4 linked regions of the Arabidopsis thaliana genome follow. The protein of the gene in region 1 interacts with the protein of each later gene in a pairwise test. Each region holds a gene or a part of one and is shown in the gene's direction. Other genes may lie near its edges. The genes, in order: TT8, TT2, MYB4 and MYB5.

Evidence for each region.
Region 2: the proteins of TT8 (region 1) and TT2 interact in binary tests that used the Arabidopsis thaliana proteins (3 or more experiments, as listed by UniProt).
Region 3: the proteins of TT8 (region 1) and MYB4 interact in a two-hybrid assay, tested with the Arabidopsis thaliana proteins (one study listed by BioGRID).
Region 4: the proteins of TT8 (region 1) and MYB5 interact in a two-hybrid assay, tested with the Arabidopsis thaliana proteins (one study listed by BioGRID).

What each region holds. Positions count from the first base shown.
Region 1 is NC_003075.7:6,179,789-6,187,623, forward strand, and holds TT8 (basic helix-loop-helix (bHLH) DNA-binding superfamily protein), read left to right. Parts: upstream 1-2,092; 5' UTR 2,093-2,278; coding exon 2,279-2,415; intron 2,416-2,634; coding exon 2,635-2,886; intron 2,887-3,267; coding exon 3,268-3,364; intron 3,365-3,552; coding exon 3,553-3,567; intron 3,568-3,649; coding exon 3,650-3,706; intron 3,707-5,390; coding exon 5,391-5,637; intron 5,638-5,721; coding exon 5,722-6,473; 3' UTR 6,474-6,735; downstream 6,736-7,835. UniProt on the Arabidopsis thaliana protein: Transcription activator, when associated with MYB75/PAP1 or MYB90/PAP2. Involved in the control of flavonoid pigmentation. Plays a key role in regulating leucoanthocyanidin reductase (BANYULS) and dihydroflavonol-4-reductase (DFR).
Region 2 is NC_003076.8:13,724,309-13,728,681, forward strand, and holds TT2 (Duplicated homeodomain-like superfamily protein), read left to right. Parts: upstream 1-2,434; 5' UTR 2,435-2,498; coding exon of another isoform or gene 2,499-2,562; coding exon 2,563-2,840; intron 2,841-2,913; coding exon 2,914-3,421; 3' UTR 3,422-3,653; downstream 3,654-4,373. UniProt on the Arabidopsis thaliana protein: Transcription activator, when associated with BHLH2/EGL3/MYC146, BHLH12/MYC1, or BHLH42/TT8. Involved in the control of flavonoid late metabolism in developing siliques.
Region 3 is NC_003075.7:18,051,237-18,056,062, forward strand, and holds MYB4 (myb domain protein 4), read left to right. Parts: upstream 1-2,123; 5' UTR 2,124-2,629; coding exon 2,630-2,892; intron 2,893-3,054; coding exon 3,055-3,640; 3' UTR 3,641-3,804; downstream 3,805-4,826. UniProt on the Arabidopsis thaliana protein: Transcription repressor involved in regulation of protection against UV. Mediates transcriptional repression of CYP73A5, the gene encoding trans-cinnamate 4-monooxygenase, thereby regulating the accumulation of the UV-protectant compound sinapoylmalate.
Region 4 is NC_003074.8:4,417,497-4,422,665, forward strand, and holds MYB5 (myb domain protein 5), read left to right. Parts: upstream 1-2,463; 5' UTR 2,464-2,742; coding exon 2,743-3,038; exon of another isoform or gene 3,039-3,493; coding exon 3,494-3,947; 3' UTR 3,948-4,255; downstream 4,256-5,169. Other genes in the region: MAPKKK7 (mitogen-activated protein kinase kinase kinase 7), read right to left, coding at 26-97, 250-381, 545-646, 769-852, 919-1,009, 1,087-1,160, 1,323-1,343, 1,459-1,593 and 1 more. UniProt on the Arabidopsis thaliana protein: Transcription activator, when associated with BHLH002/EGL3/MYC146, BHLH012/MYC1 or BHLH042/TT8.

The sequences.
Region 1 (7,835 bases):
AGTCTTAACTTGCTACATTCAAAGAAACTAATTAAACCAAAAACCAAACACTAAAAGAATAGTAAATCGTCAATTTCATATTAGATGAGCTAATAAAGCATCACAGCAATAAATTTTGTCTATCTCCATCACTTACACCCTTTTTTTGTAGATAATGTAATTTCTTCCTCAAGATCTGAAGAATCATAAATCACATAGTTTAGTCAATGTTACAATACACACGACTAAAAGAAAAATTACAAAATTTTATTGATAGAATTTAAAATATACCACTAGACACTAGACTTTTGTCTTTTCATTAGTCATTACCGCTTGATATTTTTACTATCTTACGCATGTTATGAAAGATTATAAAGCTTAGGTTTTGGGTAGCAAAAAAGGGTTAGGAAAAAGAAAACCATACTATTTGTTATCCGAAAATGTCAAACTAATTCCTCTAACTGTGGTAAAAGGTTATAAAATCAAATCCTCTAGATTGATGTAAGTGATTTTTAAATCGTTATTCGGTCAGATCACAAGTTAATGATGAACTTTTCAGGGTTCAATACATGGCGATTTTAGCCATGGATCCCCAACGGGATCATGGGATTACGGTCCAACTGACCGGTTTGGACCGGGTCTTAATATATTGAACAAAATACAAGAAATCTCTCATTCACACGAATGATTACATTTCAGAAAAAGAAAGAAAAAATAACTCAAAAAACTTCACACCAATTTGCATCACACTATATTACCCATTATTTTTCTACAATTATGTGGTCCACTTTTCAAATAGTTCACTCTCATCATAAACCGGCCGGGGTCCTTCAAAGCTCATGCAGTTGTGCGTTGTAAAGATATATTGTATTCCAACAACTAATTCTTGCCAAAACACTTTTGGCTAATGTCATTTTCATTGAAAACAAAGCATTATAAATAGGAATGATTTGTCATTTCTGGAATGGAAGAACTTGGGTTTTAGTTAACATTTGTGCCTAACCAACCTCTCGTTTATGTACTAAAGCATTGTCCTTGTGATTGTGAATAACCAATCGCTCATTTCTGTGTTAGAACAGTATTGTTTATTTTCTGTTATTTGAATCATTTCCAATGAGAAATGAGTTACATAACACCTTTATTTATAAACACAAAGATGCACACAAGGAGAAGCAAAATCAATAAGAAGAAACCACTCCACGTGGCCCGTCGTCAGAGTTACATAATTGGTGAACGACTAAACTCAGAAGAAACAACATGTAATAAGAAACACAGAAGCAGAAGCAAAAGCCAAGCAACATTTATTTTGTCGACAAAAAAGCCAAGAAACATTCAATGTTGATTTTGTCTAAGTAACCAGGTGTACATACATTACCCTTAACCATACCCAAAATCGTATGTACTACGATATGTGTACGTAACAGTATCTATCTACATTTATATTTTATAAGACATTATTAAATGGGAAACTTATAGTGGCTAGTGGCTGCTACTTGGCTAGCAATTAACATCAATAATTTAATAACTCAAATGTGAAACATCTCATTCTTCTCCTTTATTACACCAAACCATTTCTCATTCTTTACTTACCGGTCAGGTCAACAATTCTACCATTCCCCATCTTTGGTTAAGTTTATCTTTTCATTTTAAAGAAAATATATATGAATGTTCATCCAATAATTCCAACTTCTTAAAATTGTTAATGAACATTTTAATCAATATATAATTTTAATATCAATTTTATAAATAATAGAAATGTGAAAAACGCAATTTCTTTGCTCCTTGTAGCAGTAACACAAGTCAAAGCAACATTTGTTTTCATTTGTTTGTCAGTTAGCTATTTTATCTACAATAATATGTTATGCTTTCTGAACAATAAATAAATATAGCATTATTAGATATATTCATTCTGTATTTTGATTTGTCCAATTAGTATATGACACGTCTACAAGATACATAGATCTTTCATTATTTCACTTTCTCATCCAACGTCTGGTGAACCAACCATTCAAAAATCAAAAGTCAACTTTTAATGCACTTGAGTTTTGGTCATGCATTCATATACATACATATATACATAGAAGTCATTACATGCATTATACTTTACTTATGTCAACATGTTGCAAAAGCACTAAGATGATATACGTATACATGCATATTGCAAAAATCAGTGGTCCCATACCATTTTAAGTCATCATGAGCGTATGAGAGTAAATTCTTCTCACATATTAATAACAACCCTTCAAAGTTATAAGATTTTTAGAGAGAGAGCTACCACGTTTTCGTATCTCCGGGAACGATGGATGAATCAAGTATTATTCCGGCAGAGAAAGTGGCCGGAGCTGAGAAAAAAGAGCTTCAAGGGCTGCTTAAGACGGCGGTTCAATCTGTGGACTGGACTTATAGTGTCTTCTGGCAATTTTGTCCTCAACAACGGTTAGTTTCTTATCTCTATAGTTCATTCATCTCTCACAATACAACCATAATATCTATATCCGTATATATTATGTAAACTATATGTTTAAATGAATTCGGCTAATTGTTGGCTTGTCGTAGTGTTACAATTCGATCTTGAAATAATTTTTTTTTTTTTTGAAGGTTTTACAAAATTTATTAAGATTTTTGAACTACTTATATGAAAGTATCATTGTTTAGGGTCTTGGTGTGGGGGAATGGATACTACAACGGTGCAATAAAGACGAGGAAGACAACTCAACCAGCGGAGGTGACGGCAGAAGAGGCGGCGTTAGAGAGGAGCCAACAGCTCAGGGAGCTTTATGAGACACTTTTAGCCGGAGAGTCAACGTCAGAAGCAAGAGCATGCACCGCATTGTCACCGGAGGATTTGACGGAGACAGAATGGTTTTATCTAATGTGCGTCTCTTTCTCTTTTCCTCCTCCATCTGGGTAAACAACTCTCTCCCTATACTCAAGTTTCTAAATTTGTTCTTTCTTTTTTTTCCTTCTCTAAGTGAAGACAAAAATAGTATTGTGTGTTAAATGCGAATATCGAAAATATTGTGTTGACATTAAAGAGAAACTGAGGAAGTTGAGTTACTAGAATAAGAAAGAAATGAGAGTTAATGAAACGTACACACACTACATTTTCATGAACATTATTGCGACCGTTGAGATTCTCATTGTTTGGTGATTGATTATCTAAAGTAGAAGCATGAATAGATATAACATAAATGCATAACAAAATGGGTTAGTTATGGGTATACTTCATGCTTTTCTCTATGTGGTAAAAAAAAATCAAATATAAATTTGGGAGGTAGTAATTTGTAGGATGCCAGGAAAAGCGTATGCAAGGAGGAAGCACGTATGGCTAAGTGGTGCAAATGAAGTTGACAGTAAAACTTTTTCTAGAGCTATTCTCGCTAAGGTAAATTCTTTTATTCATTCACCAACTATACTATGCATCTATTTTTACCTATTTATGTATACACTATACTATGTATCTATCTACTTGTAAACCTATTTATCTATACTTTTATACATTTTCACTGATTAACTTGAATAATTCTTCTTGTCGTTTTATGGGCCTTTTACGTCGGTTCCTCAATGACTTAGAGTGCTAAAATTCAGGTAAAATTTGTCTTTATTAGTTTGCTCTTTTTAGTAAGATTTGAGAATTGTATTCTGATGAAAATGTATTTTAAAAAAGCAGACAGTGGTTTGCATTCCAATGCTTGATGGTGTTGTGGAACTAGGCACAACGAAAAAGGTAACGTTGTATATACTCTCTCTTTTATTTACTTGTTAATGAAATATATAAACAAAATAACAAAGTGAATATAGCCTATCTTTCTTTAGGTTTAGTAATGTTAAATTAAGGAGATGCACTACAAAAAAAAGGTTGTTTTACATCATTTATTATAAATATTTGCATTAGTTAAAAGTGATGTAAAAGAATTTTGTATCACTTAAATAAGTGACTTAAATATTGTTGATGCAAATAATTTGCATCAGTTAATTAGTAACTGATGTAAATAATCAAAATAATTACATCGATTATTATAATTGATATCAATATTGTATCAGTTACTAAAAATGATGTAATGTTTACATCAATTTATTTAAGTGATGTTAGTATTTGTTTCGGTTTAAATAACTGATTTAATTAATATATATATAATTATTAATACAATGTTATTAATATTTCAAATAATTATTTTATTTATTTCTTTTTTTTTTTTAAATAACAGATCATTGTGGATAATTACTCGTTGGAATATCTACTAAAATTTTATCAAGATTTAATAAAATATTTTACATGAACAATAAATCTTTATATAAGATAAGCAAAAAAATAATCATAATTTGGTTTTGGTTTCTTCGTGTTTAAACACATCTTTCTTCTGTTCCATGCTTCTTCCTTCCATTAACTGTTGGTTCTTCTTGAAAAATACCATTTCTTCTTCTATGCCATCTCTCTTCCATTTACAGAATCAAAATCATACTTTGGTTATAACTTATATCTCTTGAATCCTCATCACACTTGAGTTTCTGCTGTACAAAATAAAAAAGAGAGTAATTGTTTGAAAATTTACAGAATTGTTTTGGTCGGAATAAGAATAACCATTTGTAAGTATTTTTAAAAGAAAGTGATAGAGTACCTTTACTTTGTGTTTCTCCAAACTGTGTAGGAAAACAAACAGTCCTAATGATCAATGGCAGATTTCTGAAAATAAAAGAAAAGAAAAAAACTGAGCAATGGTTAAGAAAAAGAGAAAGATAGAATGATAGAAAAATAAGAAAGTACTTGTCGTTGAAGATGAAGAATTGAATGAGAGTTATGAGATTTCAAAAACTAATTTGAAGATATTCTAAAAACGTTTTTGGATACAAAACTGTAAAAAAAGATCGTGAGCGTAAAAGCAGGATTTATAGTGAAGGAAACAAATATATTTAGTTAGCTGATTTTGAGGGAAAATATAGGAATTAATAATAAATTATTAACCCAATATGATTATTTATTTATGGTAATAACAATTTCTCGTCATCTACAATAAATTCAAGTTAGTTTTTTGTTTAAATTAAAATACAGAAAAACTTATTAGCATCACTTCTTATTGATGTATAATTTTATATCATTTTTATAAACTGATGTTAATAAAATTAAGTGAATACATCGGTTATTTAATTGGTGTAAATACAGATTTTTGTATCAATTTGTTAAAATGATGCAAACTAATACAAATTTCTATCAATTTGATTAAAGTGACGCTAAACATGTTAATTTATACATCACTTATTATAATTGATGTTTAATTATTTATTTTGTGTCATTTGCTTATAAGTAATTTAAACTTGTACCATTTATACTTGTGATACTATTTAATTGATGTAATCTATCCTTTTTTTTGTAGTGATGGATCAATATTTATTTGTTGTATTTGTGTGTGTAGGTAAGAGAAGATGTAGAGTTTGTTGAGCTCACAAAGAGTTTCTTCTATGACCACTGCAAGACGAACCCAAAGCCGGCTCTTTCTGAACACTCCACCTACGAAGTGCATGAAGAAGCCGAAGACGAAGAAGAAGTAGAAGAAGAGATGACAATGTCAGAGGAAATGAGGCTTGGCTCTCCTGATGATGAAGATGTTTCCAATCAAAATCTACACTCTGATCTTCATATTGAATCAACCCATACGTTAGGTATATATATCTACCCTAAGCTACTTATATTTTGCGGATTTATTTCGCTATATCTAAGAAATTATCATTTGTATATATATGTAGACACACATATGGACATGATGAATCTAATGGAGGAAGGTGGAAACTATTCTCAGACAGTAACAACACTTCTCATGTCACACCCCACAAGTCTTCTTTCAGATTCAGTTTCCACATCTTCTTACATCCAATCATCGTTTGCCACGTGGAGGGTTGAGAATGGCAAAGAGCATCAGCAAGTGAAAACGGCGCCGTCGTCACAATGGGTGCTCAAACAAATGATCTTCAGAGTTCCTTTCCTCCATGACAACACTAAAGATAAGAGGCTACCGCGGGAAGATCTGAGCCACGTAGTAGCAGAGCGACGCAGGAGGGAGAAGCTGAACGAGAAATTCATAACGTTGAGATCAATGGTTCCATTTGTGACCAAGATGGATAAAGTCTCAATCCTTGGAGACACCATTGCGTACGTAAATCATCTTCGAAAGAGGGTCCATGAGCTTGAGAATACTCATCATGAGCAACAGCATAAGCGGACGCGTACTTGTAAGAGAAAAACATCGGAGGAGGTGGAGGTTTCCATCATAGAGAATGATGTTTTGTTAGAGATGAGATGTGAGTACCGAGATGGTTTGTTGCTTGACATTCTTCAGGTTCTTCATGAGCTTGGTATAGAGACTACGGCAGTTCATACCTCGGTGAACGACCATGATTTCGAGGCGGAGATAAGGGCGAAAGTAAGAGGGAAGAAAGCAAGCATCGCTGAGGTCAAAAGAGCCATCCACCAAGTCATAATACATGATACTAATCTATAGACCCTAACTTTATTGATGCCAACTCTAGAGAAGGATAATTAAGCGTATTTTTGTTTTAGCCTCACATGTATTAAGACATCAGTTACATATATAGCCGGATGCAACATATAAATGAAAATGTACTAGATGATATTGTTCATTTGTCCAATGTAGTACTTGTGTATGATGCAATTGCAACATATAAATGCAAATGTACTAGATGACGATGTTGTTCGTTGTCCAATTTAGTACTTTTGTATGAATGCGATATTTGGATGCAGATTCAGTTGCATCTAAAACATCATATTTTTTTTGATGCATAAAGATGTAGAATTTCTATGTAGTTTTTTCTTACGTTCAAATTTGAGAAAATATTATTAAAAAATCTTTACAAAATTCATTAAAATAATTTATGCCAAAATTTGTATGTCATAATTTATGTAATTTTATCATTAACCTCAGATTAGAGAAATCAAAGAGTTTATATAAAACATTACATTCTACTTTGGTGCTCAATTTTAAGAATCAAGTTGTAGCACATCAAATTACGAAATCAAATTTTCCAGCAAAATTACGAAATTGCGTTTTAGTGTAAGAATCAACAATTTCTAGAGTAGACTAATAGTTATACTCATAATTAGTGTATGGAAGAACATTTATAAGTCAAGAATATTAAGCTATCAACCAACGAGATAAATGTATTGACAATGTTCATAGTTGCAGCATGAGCTATATATATTTTTCTCTTAGTTGATCATCATACATTATCAAAGCTGCAAGATGTGTAACTGCATTGGCTCCACTTCCTTTGTTGTCTTCTTTCTTGAATAGTGGTGTTCAATAGTGTAAGATATCTTTCTATAGTTTCAGCACTTAGCAGGCTGCTTAAAATTGGCCTGGCCCATTCGATTCTTTGATTTCGGTATGAACTGTTAGAATTCTGATTGAATTCAGATACCAAACCTTGCCAAAAAGAAAAAAAAAACGGTTTAAATGAATATTAACTTACTTTGACCAAAAATTGATGGCAGGGTAAAAAGACTCAAGATAATCCAAGGTCAAACCTATTTTAATTTCAGAACTTTATAATAATCGTTTTAAACTGAAATTGGTTTAATGTAAAAATTTAACCAACCTGAACCGAGAACTACAATCAAAGTAAACAGGAGATTATATTAAATCGAACCACTCTTACAACTCATAGGGGTGGGCGTACGGTTTTATGATTTGGTTTTGGTTTGGTTTTTTCGGTTTTATAAAAACTATAATCATAGAAAAACAGAAAAACAGTATGTAATTCAGTTTGGTTCCGGTTCGGTTTTATAAATATTAAAACCATATGTATCTCAGTTCGGTTTGGATTCGATTTGTTTTTGGTTTGGT
Region 2 (4,373 bases), on another chromosome or scaffold:
TTAAGAAAAAGTGCAAAATTCAGAGTCAAACTAACGAGTGTTAGTCAACTCCGTAAAGATGCTGAGTCAGCAGACACGTGGAATCTGATGTGTCTAAAACGACATCGTTTTGAGTTATGAACGTTTAAAATGTTAAATTTGTTAGGTATTTTAATACCTAAACCACATATTTATTTGAATTTCCTACCTCAACTTAAGAAAAAGTGCAAAATTCATAGTCAAACTAACGGGTGTTAGTCAACTCCGTGAAAAATGTTGAGTCAACAGACACGTGAATTATGATGTGTCTAAAACGACGTTGTTTTGCGTTATGAACGTTTTAAATGTTAAAAAATTTGCAACATGCAGGATTCGAACCCACGTCTTTAAAGACATTTAACAGAATATCTAACCATTTCATCCAGATTATATATTTGTTAATATCTAACATTATCGATATTCTATCGCAACATGGAATCATTAATATCTAACAATTTCGAACATTTTCAATGTTCATAACGCAAAACAATGTCAAAGTAAATTCAAACTACACGAAGTAAATGTATTGTATGACCACATATACAAAGTATAGGACGTCATGTGGTTAACACCATAGACATACAATTCCGATAAACCGGTCAGTTGACTCCGGCGTTGACTAGGGTTGACCGGCGTTGACCAACAAAAAAATTCAAAAAAATCTTTTAAATTATTTTAAATATTCAAAAATACAAAATATTTTTTTTTTGGTTTTGTATATTCAAAAACATATTCTATATTTCAATGCATTAAATCTTAGAAAAATTAGTTTTACAAAAAAAATCAAAATTTAACTAAAAATAGATTAAAAATCATTATTAAATTTTAAATTTTAAATGAAAACAGGAAAATATTATTATAGTTAATTAAGTAAGGAAATTGCTTATTTTTATAGTGTCAATTAAAACACTTCAATTATTTCTATACAATATTTTTTATAAAAAAAAATCAACCACAAAAATTATTAGAATAAAACGTAATACAAATGAATTTTATTTTAAAAACTTTTTTGCTGAAATCAACATTGTTAGATTTTCTATCTTTTTATATATTAAAAAGAAAAATTGCAAGTTTTTGGTTGTTTATGTGTTACTACGAGAACTTTTCTTAATAATATTTGTTACAAAAGGAACTACATAGTATACAAAAATAAATTTAGACTAAAGAGTATATAAAAAATATTATAATTTTCTTTACCATGCAAACTTTAGATTAAAGAGTCATATACTCAATTTCATATTGCTTCCTAATACAATTGAGTATATGACTCTTTAATCTAAAGTTTAATAATGATTTTTATTCTAGTTTTAGTTTAGTTTTGAAATTAAAAATAAAACTAATTATTATAAGATTTAATGCATTGAAAATACAAATATATTTTTACGAAATATAGAATATGTTTTTGAATATATAAAAGAAAAAAAATATTTTCGTATTTTTGAGTATTAAAAATAATTTTAAATTTTTTTGTTGGTCAACGCCGGTCAACACTAGTCAAAGCCTGAGTCAACTGACCGGTTTACCGGAATTGTATGTCAATGGTGTTAACCACATGACGTCCTATACTTCATATATGTGGTCATGTAATACATCTACTTCGTGTCTACTTCGTGTAGCTGGATATACAATGTATAGTAGGTATGTGTGACCATGTATTCTCTTATACTTTGTTTACCTAGCAATCTTTTTTTTAAATTAAAATAAATATGCGGTTTAGATATGAAACTACCCAACAAATTTAACATTTTAAACGTTCATAACGTAAAACGACGTCGTTATAGACACATATTTTCCATGTGTCTGCTGACTTATCATCTTCACGGAGTTGACTAACACCCGTTACTTTGACTCTGAATTTTGTACTTTTTCTTAAGTTGAGGTATGAAATTCAAATAAATATGCGGTTAATATATGAAAATACCCAACAAATTTTTTTGGATACGAAAATACACTCAGAAAATAGTACGGGTATGAAAATACCCTTTTCCCGTATTTGATACATGTCTAATTCGGTTCAAATAAACCGAATATGAAAATTTTCAGTTTTATTTCGGAAGTTAAATAAATCTAGATAACCGACCTGAAAAACCCGAGTCCCGACCGAACCGAACCGAAATTAAATTCGGTTTAATTCGGAAGCATTTCCAAAAACCGAAATTCCCTAAAACCGAATAACCCGACCCGATTAAACCGATTTGCCGAACTCCCAGGCCTAAATTCACACTTGGCTTAGAAAAACTCTTTGTAGATGTTAAAATTCGGTAAAATTAACCTCACCAAAGCTAATTATTACCAGGTGAAGAAAGCATTAAAATTTCAAAGTGTGTATGACAGAGGTTTTAGAAAGCGACTGATGTACGGACATATCAACAACTCCCCTATAAAGATACTCAGCTAAACACAAAAACAGAATCTATTCTCAACACAACACTAAAGACAATTGTACCAACCACACAACCACAAGAGAGAGAAAAGTGAGAATGGGAAAGAGAGCAACTACTAGTGTGAGGAGAGAAGAGTTAAACAGAGGAGCTTGGACTGATCATGAAGACAAGATCCTTAGAGATTACATCACCACTCACGGCGAAGGCAAATGGAGCACTCTCCCTAACCAAGCTGGTACTAATCTCTCTATCTACCGATCCGTCTTTATATCTTCTACGTACAATAATTGTCTTGGCACACATAAAAGGTCTCAAGAGGTGTGGCAAAAGCTGTAGACTTCGGTGGAAGAACTACCTAAGACCGGGGATAAAGCGCGGTAACATCTCATCTGATGAAGAAGAACTCATAATCCGTCTCCATAATCTTCTTGGAAACAGGTTTTTCACTAACCACATAGAATTTTCTTTTTGTAGTAAAGTTATTTGTTATGTGACATTATAATTAAAGCAGATGGTCGTTGATAGCTGGGAGGCTTCCAGGCCGAACAGACAATGAAATAAAGAATCATTGGAACTCAAACCTCCGCAAAAGACTTCCCAAAACTCAAACCAAGCAACCAAAACGTATAAAACATTCGACGAACAACGAGAATAATGTATGTGTTATACGTACAAAGGCGATTAGGTGCTCAAAGACTCTTCTCTTCTCGGATCTCTCTCTTCAGAAGAAGAGTAGTACTAGTCCACTACCTCTGAAAGAACAAGAGATGGATCAAGGTGGATCTTCGTTGATGGGAGATCTCGAATTCGATTTCGATAGGATCCATTCGGAGTTTCACTTCCCGGATTTGATGGATTTTGATGGTTTGGACTGTGGAAACGTTACATCTCTTGTTTCATCTAACGAGATTTTGGGAGAGTTGGTTCCTGCTCAAGGTAATCTCGATCTCAATAGACCTTTCACTTCTTGTCATCATCGTGGCGACGATGAAGATTGGCTCCGAGACTTCACTTGTTGAGCCTATATTGCAAAAACCTACGTTAATACATATTTCTCTATACGGACAAAAGTATATCTGTATTTGTCTGAACGCTTCTAATTACTAACTTACTAAGGAGACCAAGAAATACAAATAATTATACGATCCACATGTTATAGAAATGGGTTTTGTCTTTAACTAATAATTTTTTATTATTGCAAATACGTACGACATAAATATTTTTGATAGATTTTGTAAATTTATGTATGAGCAAATGATAGAGCTTTTATTATAACCTAACCACCGCTTAACCACCCAACCTATAAATTCTACTTGTGAATTATTGGTAATACGAATCAACTTTACAATTTTGTTATTACGAAATATTACTAGAATATACATGTATAGTCTATTTATAGGCAGGCATAGTCATTAATGTAAGGAATTTGTTCTTCTCATTTTTGGAATCATCGTATAAATAAATACTAGATGCATGGTTGTTCTAAGTCATGTGCCAGTACATATTTGAAAAACAAAACAAAGGAATATTCCGGATTTTCCCCCTATCTCCTGTATTTTATGGGTACAATTTAGAAGTTTATGTATTTTAAGGATACTAAAAAATCATGTATTTTATTGGACATCAAAAAGTGTTTGTATTTTAAAGGAAACTAGATTCTGACCCGCACATACGTGCGGGGTTTCATATTTTAAGAAATGTATTAGAATACATTTTTAGTGAAAGATATTGTAGTGTATAAATTATAATGTGCATAGAAAAGTGTATAGTGTTATTTATGATATAATAACTAAATTTTTTTTATTAATTTATATTATTTATATTTCATTTGTGTTTTGCATAGTAAATCGAATGTTAGATTTGTTTTGATTTGCGGAATAATATAGAGATATTTGGAAAATCTGTGTATTTTTGTTAGTTTGATGTATATACAAATGAATTGTTTTTGTTTGAAATTTGATCAATTAGATG
Region 3 (4,826 bases), about 12 Mb from region 1:
CTAATCTTTACCTTGAGATCAAGGTGATCTTAATTCTTGTATCTGAATACGCAAAGTTGAAATTAAATATCAAACAAATGAATCCATTATTAAAACAATAATAATAAAGTGGAAGGTGAACCAAATCCCACGTCCCAACCGCATACGGACCTAAATAATATATAGTTTTTTTTTGTTTTTGGCAGCAACCTAAATAATATAATTATCCTACTCTTTTTTAATATCAGTATATTTACTTAAAGAAAATGCCAAATTAATCAGTACATTGTGATTTCGCTTCTATATTATATTTGTGACACAAGTTTTGCTTTTATATTATAGCACATCGCTATTTCCTCCACGTCATTTACAATCCCATTAGTAGTACTACTAACAAGTAATAACATATTATTCCTAAAACAAAAAAACAAAAAAAAACAACAGAGAGAATAATTCACCTGGAGAACTATTATTCTCCCATGATGTTAAAAAACGTTTTGCATGTAGTGTTGCTGCATTTGGTTTTTCATAAAACAATATTACGAATTTGTCTCTTACAATTTAGTTGCAAGAAAAAAGAAAGAGCAGTAAATAAGTTAATTGGGTATAAATAGTGAATGTGAAAAACTGACTGATTGGGGTTTAATTTTGATTCAGATGTAAATGGACGTAAACTTTTGTTGATGAATTGAAGAATCTTGGCCTTTAGCTAAGAACCTAACCTTCTAGAAGAGGGCCATCATCATGCATGAGGTGAGTGATTTTGTACCAATAGATTAAACAAATTGAAATTCAACTACTCTCTCTCTCTCTCTCTCTCTTTTTCGGTTTTTTCATCTTTTTCAATAAACCATTATTCTTTTTCGTTTCTTCTCACATTTTCCACCTAACTTACCAAATTTCACAATTAAGTTCAACTTTTTTTGTTTAGCATACATGGACAGTACACAGTAGATACTATAGTTTAATTATTCTCTCCTATATACTGTTATGTGTTCTATTCTTCAACTATTCTCCTGACATACGAATTACTACATACGTATATGATTAGTGTTGTCGATCGTATTCTAAAAATATAGATACGATTAGTGCTATAATAATATTCCGTCCAGTTAGAGTTCAACATTATTAAAAAAATATCTCTTAATAAGTCTTGATTTTTCAAGTCTCTAATATGAAAGAAATAGAAGTTGGTTAGAGAAAACCATTCTAAGTCAAGGTTCTAGAAGGCACATTCTTTAATTCAAATAGTTTATCATATATGTATATTTCTAATTTATATGTATGTGTCATGGTGGTTCTTGTTGTATTGTTTTTATACTGAAATATTAAAGAAACATGAGCATCATCACAAATATTTTAAACATGAAGTGCTTGTCATTTGGTGAGAGTAATTTGAAAACCATATATAAGTTACAAGTTATCCTGCCCACACATATAATTAGTTATTTGATAATGCTTTGTTTAATTAGCAAGTGATTGTATTAGGGTTAAGTTCTAGATATATTATTGATTAAAAAAACAATAACTAATCCAGTGCAGTCTATATATTAGAGAAAAGACTGTTGACCAGTACAACAAAAACCTCATAGGCTATATAGTTGACCTGCACTTGTCCAAAAAACACTCATTAACTTTACCACCTACCTCCACTACTTCATTATATCTTCTCTTCGTTATTGCTACCAAATTATTCAAGTTTCCCCTTCCTTTGTTAGACCCAAATTTTTACTTGTGACCTATAATATCTGGCGATAAAAGCCATTCACAAACTTTTTGTTTTACTGAATTTTAGGTTTTCTACATTAATTTTCACCCGCCTAAGTTTTACTACAAACTTAATTCATACGATAGGTAAGAGACTCCAAAAAAATAAAAATAAATTACTGTTTGTACTAAATCGGTCGAAGTTAAAAGACGATTTGTCAATAAATGTACACAGTCGAATACTCGAATTGTCATGTATTGATTAATTTCTTGACAGAGTTGGTTTATATTTTGTACTAAATAAAACTTGTTGCAAAGTAAAAAAAGAAAGAAAAAAAATTAAAGAAGTAGCTAAATAATTTTGGTTTATGTATATACGAACACGAGAAATTTCTTTGATTACATATATATATATATATATATATTTAAGTGAGAAATATTAAATTTGTTGTCATGATTATTAAAAAAATGTCATAGCTTTATCAAAAGACTATGATGCCATATATGTCAAGCTTCTCACTTATTGTACCAAAACGAAAGGCCACCATACACTACTCATTCAAATCCATCCCACCAACTCACATCTAGAAGCAATTATAAGTTCAACTCTCTTTCTCTCTCCTTTTCTATCATCTAGAAGCATTTGTGTATATATATATATGTGTGTATATTCCTCTCTAGCTTTAAGTCAAAACCCTATATAAACTATACACCAAAGCTTTGAACCTTCAACCAAACCCAAAATCCAAGTGCCCCACCAAATGCTTCAATCCTCTTCCACTACACAAAAAAACAACTTAATCCCTTTATACCCTTTTAGCCAAAACCCTCGCTAAAAGCCAATCCCTCAATATAAAATAACAAGTAGAATTGATCTGCCTATATATAAGATTTTGAGACGAAATAAGATCTAAACCACAAGAAAGAAAGTAAACATAAAAGTATGGGAAGGTCACCGTGCTGTGAGAAAGCTCACACAAACAAAGGAGCATGGACGAAAGAAGAGGACGAGAGGCTCGTCGCCTACATTAAAGCTCATGGAGAAGGCTGCTGGAGATCTCTCCCCAAAGCCGCCGGACTTCTTCGCTGTGGCAAGAGCTGCCGTCTCCGGTGGATCAACTATCTCCGGCCTGACCTTAAGCGTGGAAACTTCACCGAGGAAGAAGACGAACTCATCATCAAGCTCCATAGCCTTCTTGGCAACAAGTGAGTACTATACTCTCTAAATATGGGCTTATTTAACTAGCTAGTATCGTTTATACCCAAAAAAAAACAAAAAAAACTAGTATCGTTTTAATTTATACAAAATGAAAATCTTGGAGTTTTCAATCTATCTAAATGATGTTATTTTTTGTTGATGATATATAGATGGTCGCTTATTGCCGGGAGATTACCGGGAAGAACAGATAACGAGATAAAGAACTATTGGAACACGCATATACGAAGAAAGCTTATAAACAGAGGGATTGATCCAACGAGTCATAGACCAATCCAAGAATCATCAGCTTCTCAAGATTCTAAACCTACACAACTAGAACCAGTTACGAGTAATACCATTAATATCTCATTCACTTCTGCTCCAAAGGTCGAAACGTTCCATGAAAGTATAAGCTTTCCGGGAAAATCAGAGAAAATCTCAATGCTTACGTTCAAAGAAGAAAAAGATGAGTGCCCAGTTCAAGAAAAGTTCCCAGATTTGAATCTTGAGCTCAGAATCAGTCTTCCTGATGATGTTGATCGTCTTCAAGGGCATGGAAAGTCAACAACGCCACGTTGTTTCAAGTGCAGCTTAGGGATGATAAACGGCATGGAGTGCAGATGCGGAAGAATGAGATGCGATGTAGTCGGAGGTAGCAGCAAGGGGAGTGACATGAGCAATGGATTTGATTTTTTAGGGTTGGCAAAGAAAGAGACCACTTCTCTTTTGGGCTTTCGAAGCTTGGAGATGAAATAATATTGTCAAATTTTAGGCGTAACTGTACAAAACTTTTGCCTAGATAATTTGAAAGTATATCTTCAACTTGTATGAGAAATTTAACTGGTGAATTATAATATATAGAATTTGTTTTTTTTTCTCTTTTACAAATTAACTCCATTGGCATAAATATTAAATACCGGATCTAGACGATCGGTGATAAAAATATAGATCATTAGATCGTATAGCTCTATTGTAATTAATTTGTATACGATTAAGATTATCAGTTTATGAGGTAAGATTAGGTTGGTTGCCCAAATAACTCGTTATCCAATGTTGGAGATAAGCCAAATAAGGAGAAAAAAGATTACGAGTATGGCAAAGATACTTGATCACATAATACTTAGATTGTACTGGTATAGATGATACCTTGTTAAGATCTATAATTAAAGATCTAGGAGAAGAACGTGAAACAGAAGATAAATCGAAAATGTTTCATGACAAGTGGAAAGTGAGGTTTGTAGTTAATTTGGCAGGAATAGAAAAGTTGTAAGAGAAGGAGGTAGGAGAAAACTTAAATGTTTTTAAGATAAAAAAAGGAAAGAAAGAGATATGTGAAAAAGAAAAAGAAAATAATGAAAACCATAAATGAAGGAAAGGAAGCAACAACCAATGGACCCTTTCTTCTACCAAACTCTATTTATTTCTCACTACCCATCTCCCTACCAACCTATATACCAACCTTTCCTCATCTTTTGTCCACTTGCAAGCGATCTACATCTGCATACATACATACATACATACATACATACATACATATTACACATGAATGCATAACATACATATACTGTATATCCATATACCACATAATATATTTATGCATGCATGCATATAAAAATTATGTATAGGAGTTTCATTGAATGTAGCCACATGGTTGAATTTAGAAAGAGTAGCGACTCGTAAACTTAAACATTGTTCTATCGTAAGATGCTTGGTAAAATCGGTGTTGTACATGTTCCTTCGTTGATATCCTCTCCTCAACACTACAAAAACCCTCTCTAGCTACTACATTAATTATCATCTCAAATCCCAATAGAGCAGTATATTATTTCCTCGTATATATTTAGATTTAGTTTTAAAATTGATCAAATGGTTATATACTCCAGTTGTGTGTTTGTTTTTTTGTTTTGGCCAAAAATTGGTAAGATCTCAAAAACTGGTATAA
Region 4 (5,169 bases), on another chromosome or scaffold:
TAAACCCTATAGCAGAAAATTATACCTTCTTGAAGCACTGTCGTAGAAAGTCCGTAATATCTGGAGAAAGACTATCAGGAATAGGAGGGTTGTCATCCTGAAACGAAACCATAAGAAATAGTTTGTCACTTCTGGCTAACAGCTTTTGCATTTTTCAGGAGAGAAGTGTTTACGACATGGAGAAGGGGACGGAAGAGACACCTAAATTTGATTGACTTAAATGCAAACTCATAAAATGTTGTCAAATACCTGAACAATACGAAAGAGGGCTGGCATGGGTTGCAGATCATAGTAAGGAGGTACACATGTCAGAAGTTCGATAACAGTGCATCCAACGCTCCAAATGTCAGAAGCAGCACAAACTCCTGACATTTCAATAACCTGAAACAGAAGTTGGGCTTCTGTCAATACGTACATAATCAGGTAAAAGTTCTCTAAAGGAGCAAACAAAAGCATCTTTCAAACAACAACAAATATTGTTTCAAAACTGCGTACGAAAGCTATACAGAATATGGAGATGGAAAATATATAATCAAAGGTGTACCTCAGGAGCCATCCAGTAAGGAGTTCCAACCACCGAGTGAGTATTAACATCAGCCTCGTTAAGTTTAGTGGCAACTCCAAAGTCAGCAAGCTTCACAAGACCCTGAAGTGTGATGTAGTCAAGTATCTTTCTAAGGAAAAAGCCTAGAAGAATCTTATCCAGCAGATCTCAAAACAAAAACACACTGAAGACATGTCTGAGAATAGATAATATAGAAAACACACCTCCTTTGTCGTCAAAATATTTGCACCCTTAATATCACGGTGTATAACACCCTGCTCATGCAGATATACCAAACCTTCCAAGACCTGTATTCACTAGTTAGTACACAATGCATAACGAAACTTAACTCAACTTGAAAGATGTATACAGACCTGAGCAATGTAAACAGCCACCAAAGATTCTGGGAAAGGTCCAAATTTATTTGGTTTAATAATGTTTGCAAGAGAGCCATTCTCAACGTACCTGCAAACACATAATTGAACTTGAGTTTCCCGTCCATAGTCCAGAGTGGACCAAAATAAACAAAAAAAGCTACTTACTCCAAAATAATGTGAAGGTGAGTCTTTGTCTTCGACGACCCAAGATACTTCACAATGTTTTTATGGTTCAAGTTCTGCAATGAAATATTATCTCAGAATACATAGAGAAGAACTGCATCTTAACCAGCATCATAACCATTCATGAGAAGAAGCCAAAATTCAGAAGGTGATTGATTTGACATAAACTTAGTATCAGGATCCCAACTCTGTAAACAGTACAAAATTCAGAAAACTACCTTCAAAAGATCAATTTCTTGCTGGAGAAATTCATCCCAACAGCACAAGAATCATCCACATGTAAAAACCAGGATTAGTCAGCATAGCAGTGGTAAGGAACAAATAAGGAAGATAGATATAAGGAAAATAACAAACCATAATGGTGTTAAGATCCTCTTGAACAATATTTTCCAAAGAGACTTGTTTAATGGCCACAAAGTCACCATTCTCCAAGTCTAATCCTTTATAAACTCGACCATAAGCTCCTTTACCAATTTCATCTCCCAGCATCTACCCTCAACATATCAAGGATCAACCATTGAAATTAATCAAAATTGAAGAGAAAACAGCAAAAAGCACCAGACTTAAGCTTAAAATCAATAAAATTACTAAAGCTAAAATCTTAAGGAGACCCATTAGAAAACCCAAATCCCAGAAATTACGGAGAAGAAGAAAGCTCACATATTTGTTGTCGAGAGTCTTTGATTTGTGAAACTGAGATGACGTCATTTGCCGCGCCATCTCTTCTCGTTTCTTCTTCCTCCGTCAGCAGAACAAAAAAAATGCAGCGAACAGAACACAATTGCTCCTCAAGGAAACAGAATCCAATAAGAATTAGGGTTTTAATTTTTTGAGAAAATTGAAAGAAAAGATTTCGAGATTGGTGGAGTTGAAAGATCAGAGATGCCAGCTCTATTACAGTAGTGAAAATACATGACCAAATTTTAATAAAATCAAAATTAAGAAAAAGGAAAGAACAAAACAAAAGTTTTGGGTTAGAAATTGACTAACTGTAATAAAGGAGAGGTAATTATGTTAATTTCTCATGCGCCTGTATTCTTCTTTATTATGTGGCCCATACTTTTTATTTATTTACGATTTCACCCCTTTATTTCCCGATTTGTAAAAATACTAGCATTTTGTCCAATTACTGATTAATCATCTATTTAAAAGGTGGTCCAAATATTTAATGCTTTTTCACTGGTGTCAATTTTAATTAAGGTGGTTAGTATTCATTAATGTATTATCAACCATTTTGTTATAACTTTCTCAATTGTAGGAGCTGGTATAATCGGATGTTTATAGCCAATCAAATTATAATTCATAGTAGTATCAAATCTTTAATATAAATAACTAGAAGCAACTAACCTATGCATTGTAATAACATTAGCCATTTGGATTTCAATATGATTGTTACTGCAAAATCTTTAAAATGAAAGGAAAAAAAAACCACGCAGGTGAAATAAAAACCAAATGAAGATTATTACCAAACGCCGAAGCTAGCGCGTGAGAGAAAAGGTCGGTAGGTTCATTGGTAACATCAGCAGACTAATGGAGAGAGAGAAACTTTGAGAAAAGAAAAAAACAACCAATCGAAGAACTCATAGAGATCACGAAACCCTAGTGGAAAGAGAGAAAGCTTTGTTGAAGACGGCGGAGATGATGTCATGTGGTGGGAAGAAGCCAGTGTCTAAGAAAACAACGCCGTGTTGCACGAAGATGGGGATGAAGAGAGGACCATGGACGGTGGAGGAAGACGAGATTCTTGTGAGCTTCATTAAGAAAGAAGGTGAAGGACGGTGGCGATCGCTTCCTAAGAGAGCTGGTTTACTCAGATGTGGAAAGAGCTGTCGTCTACGGTGGATGAACTATCTCCGACCCTCGGTTAAACGTGGAGGAATTACGTCGGACGAGGAAGATCTCATCCTCCGTCTTCACCGCCTCCTCGGCAACAGGTATATATATAGATATTAAAAAAAAATCTCGTCAAGTATTCAACTATACAAGATCGTTTAGTTTATATGCATACGTATGTGTGTGTCTCTCTCTACCCATACACTAGAGTTATTTTTTTGTTTAAGCTAGCTAGGGTTTTATTTCTTCCACATAAACATGAAGGTTCTGATTTTAGCTTGATCCCATTTTTTCTTATAGCTATATAAAACAATTATACTTTGATTCTTGATTCGATATTTATATAGAACAAAAGGTTAATCCCTTCTCTAGTTTCTTTAGAGTATAATTTTAATTAAGTTGATTCTGGTTCTAGAGCAAATTAATAGTTCTAGAGATCATTCATTCTTTTTTCAAATTGTTTATGATTACTAGGATAAAAATGCAAGCTTGTTTTGTAACCATATTAGTAATTAACCGCTCTTGTTCTTCATGGAAATTCTAATGTGTGATGCAGGTGGTCATTGATCGCGGGAAGGATACCGGGAAGGACTGATAATGAAATTAAGAACTATTGGAACACTCATCTTCGTAAGAAACTTTTAAGGCAAGGAATTGATCCTCAAACCCACAAGCCTCTTGATGCAAACAACATCCATAAACCAGAAGAAGAAGTTTCCGGTGGACAAAAGTACCCTCTAGAGCCTATTTCTAGTTCTCATACTGATGATACCACTGTTAATGGCGGGGATGGAGATAGCAAGAACAGTATCAATGTCTTTGGTGGTGAACACGGCTACGAAGACTTTGGTTTCTGCTACGACGACAAGTTCTCATCGTTTCTTAATTCGCTCATCAACGATGTTGGTGATCCTTTTGGTAATATTATCCCAATATCTCAACCTTTGCAGATGGATGATTGTAAGGATGGGATTGTTGGAGCGTCGTCTTCTAGCTTAGGACATGACTAGATACAGGAAGATATATAGTTGATCGAATCTTGATGTCTTCTATATCTACCATGCTTCAAGAAGGGGTCACAGATGCGATCTAGAAGGTTGGCATATATGTGTACTAAGTTGTTTTGTGGTGATTTGTGTGATTATTATAAAACCATAAATTGTGAGTGTAACTGAGTACACAAACCTCTATTTATATATATGGATATATCTATTGCGAATAAATGAATCATCACTATCGTTAAATAAGACTCGTGGTAAGCTTTTGTCAAATACAGATAACTAATAAGCATGTTCACAATCTTAAATTATGGTACTAGATATGTTTCTAAGTTTAATTTCTTCAAGAAGTTTATTTAATGTAAACAATACAGGCTAGCTAAGTGCTAACGTTAAACTTCATATCCTTGAAAACAAAAATACACTAAACTTTATAAGCTATTAAACATATTCCGGACAGTTTACATACTAAAGTACGATAATAACATATATGTTGTTTGAAAAAAAAAACATATATGTTGCCTATAGGTTTATTATGTGTTTGCGTCACCACACGAGTTGAGGTTATAAAACTCTATTTTCATGTAATACTAAATTAAAACTCAAAAATGTTTGTTTTAAGTATTTCAGACACAATTCATGAGTTGTATATATAAGTTGAAACTTATAGGTTCTTTTTATCGATGAGGATATACTATAAGTTCGAAAATCAAAGTTTGTTGCGTAGTTCACATTTACGTATCTTATAGTAAGACCAATGTTGGTCGAAGATATAGTTTTTTACCTATGCATGCAGATTTATTGTTTAACACAGTTTTATGTATATATATGCTTACTTCATCACAGTCTCTCGTCCGTGCGTTCTCCCTCTAGAATTCGTTACTTAAAACCAAAAAGAACACCATGCCGTTTTCACATTGACTCTTCACACGTTCCCACATTTACGCCATATAAACTACCCTTAGTTAAAGCCTAGGAAAATTGAATTATAGACCAACATTAGCGGTTAGAATAATTGACGTTTAATTTACATAAGTTTTTACTTTTTACTTAAAACGAACTTCGCATGCGACTATGCTGCTCCGACCTAACCTTCTCTTTGACCCTTCGGTTCACATCACAGCAGCAAAAATAATTAACTAACCGATAGTCTCTGGCTCAACCAAATTTAGACGAAAATGATTTATTGCCAAAAAATTCGTAAACCTAAGACTCTGATTAACAAAATTTTAGT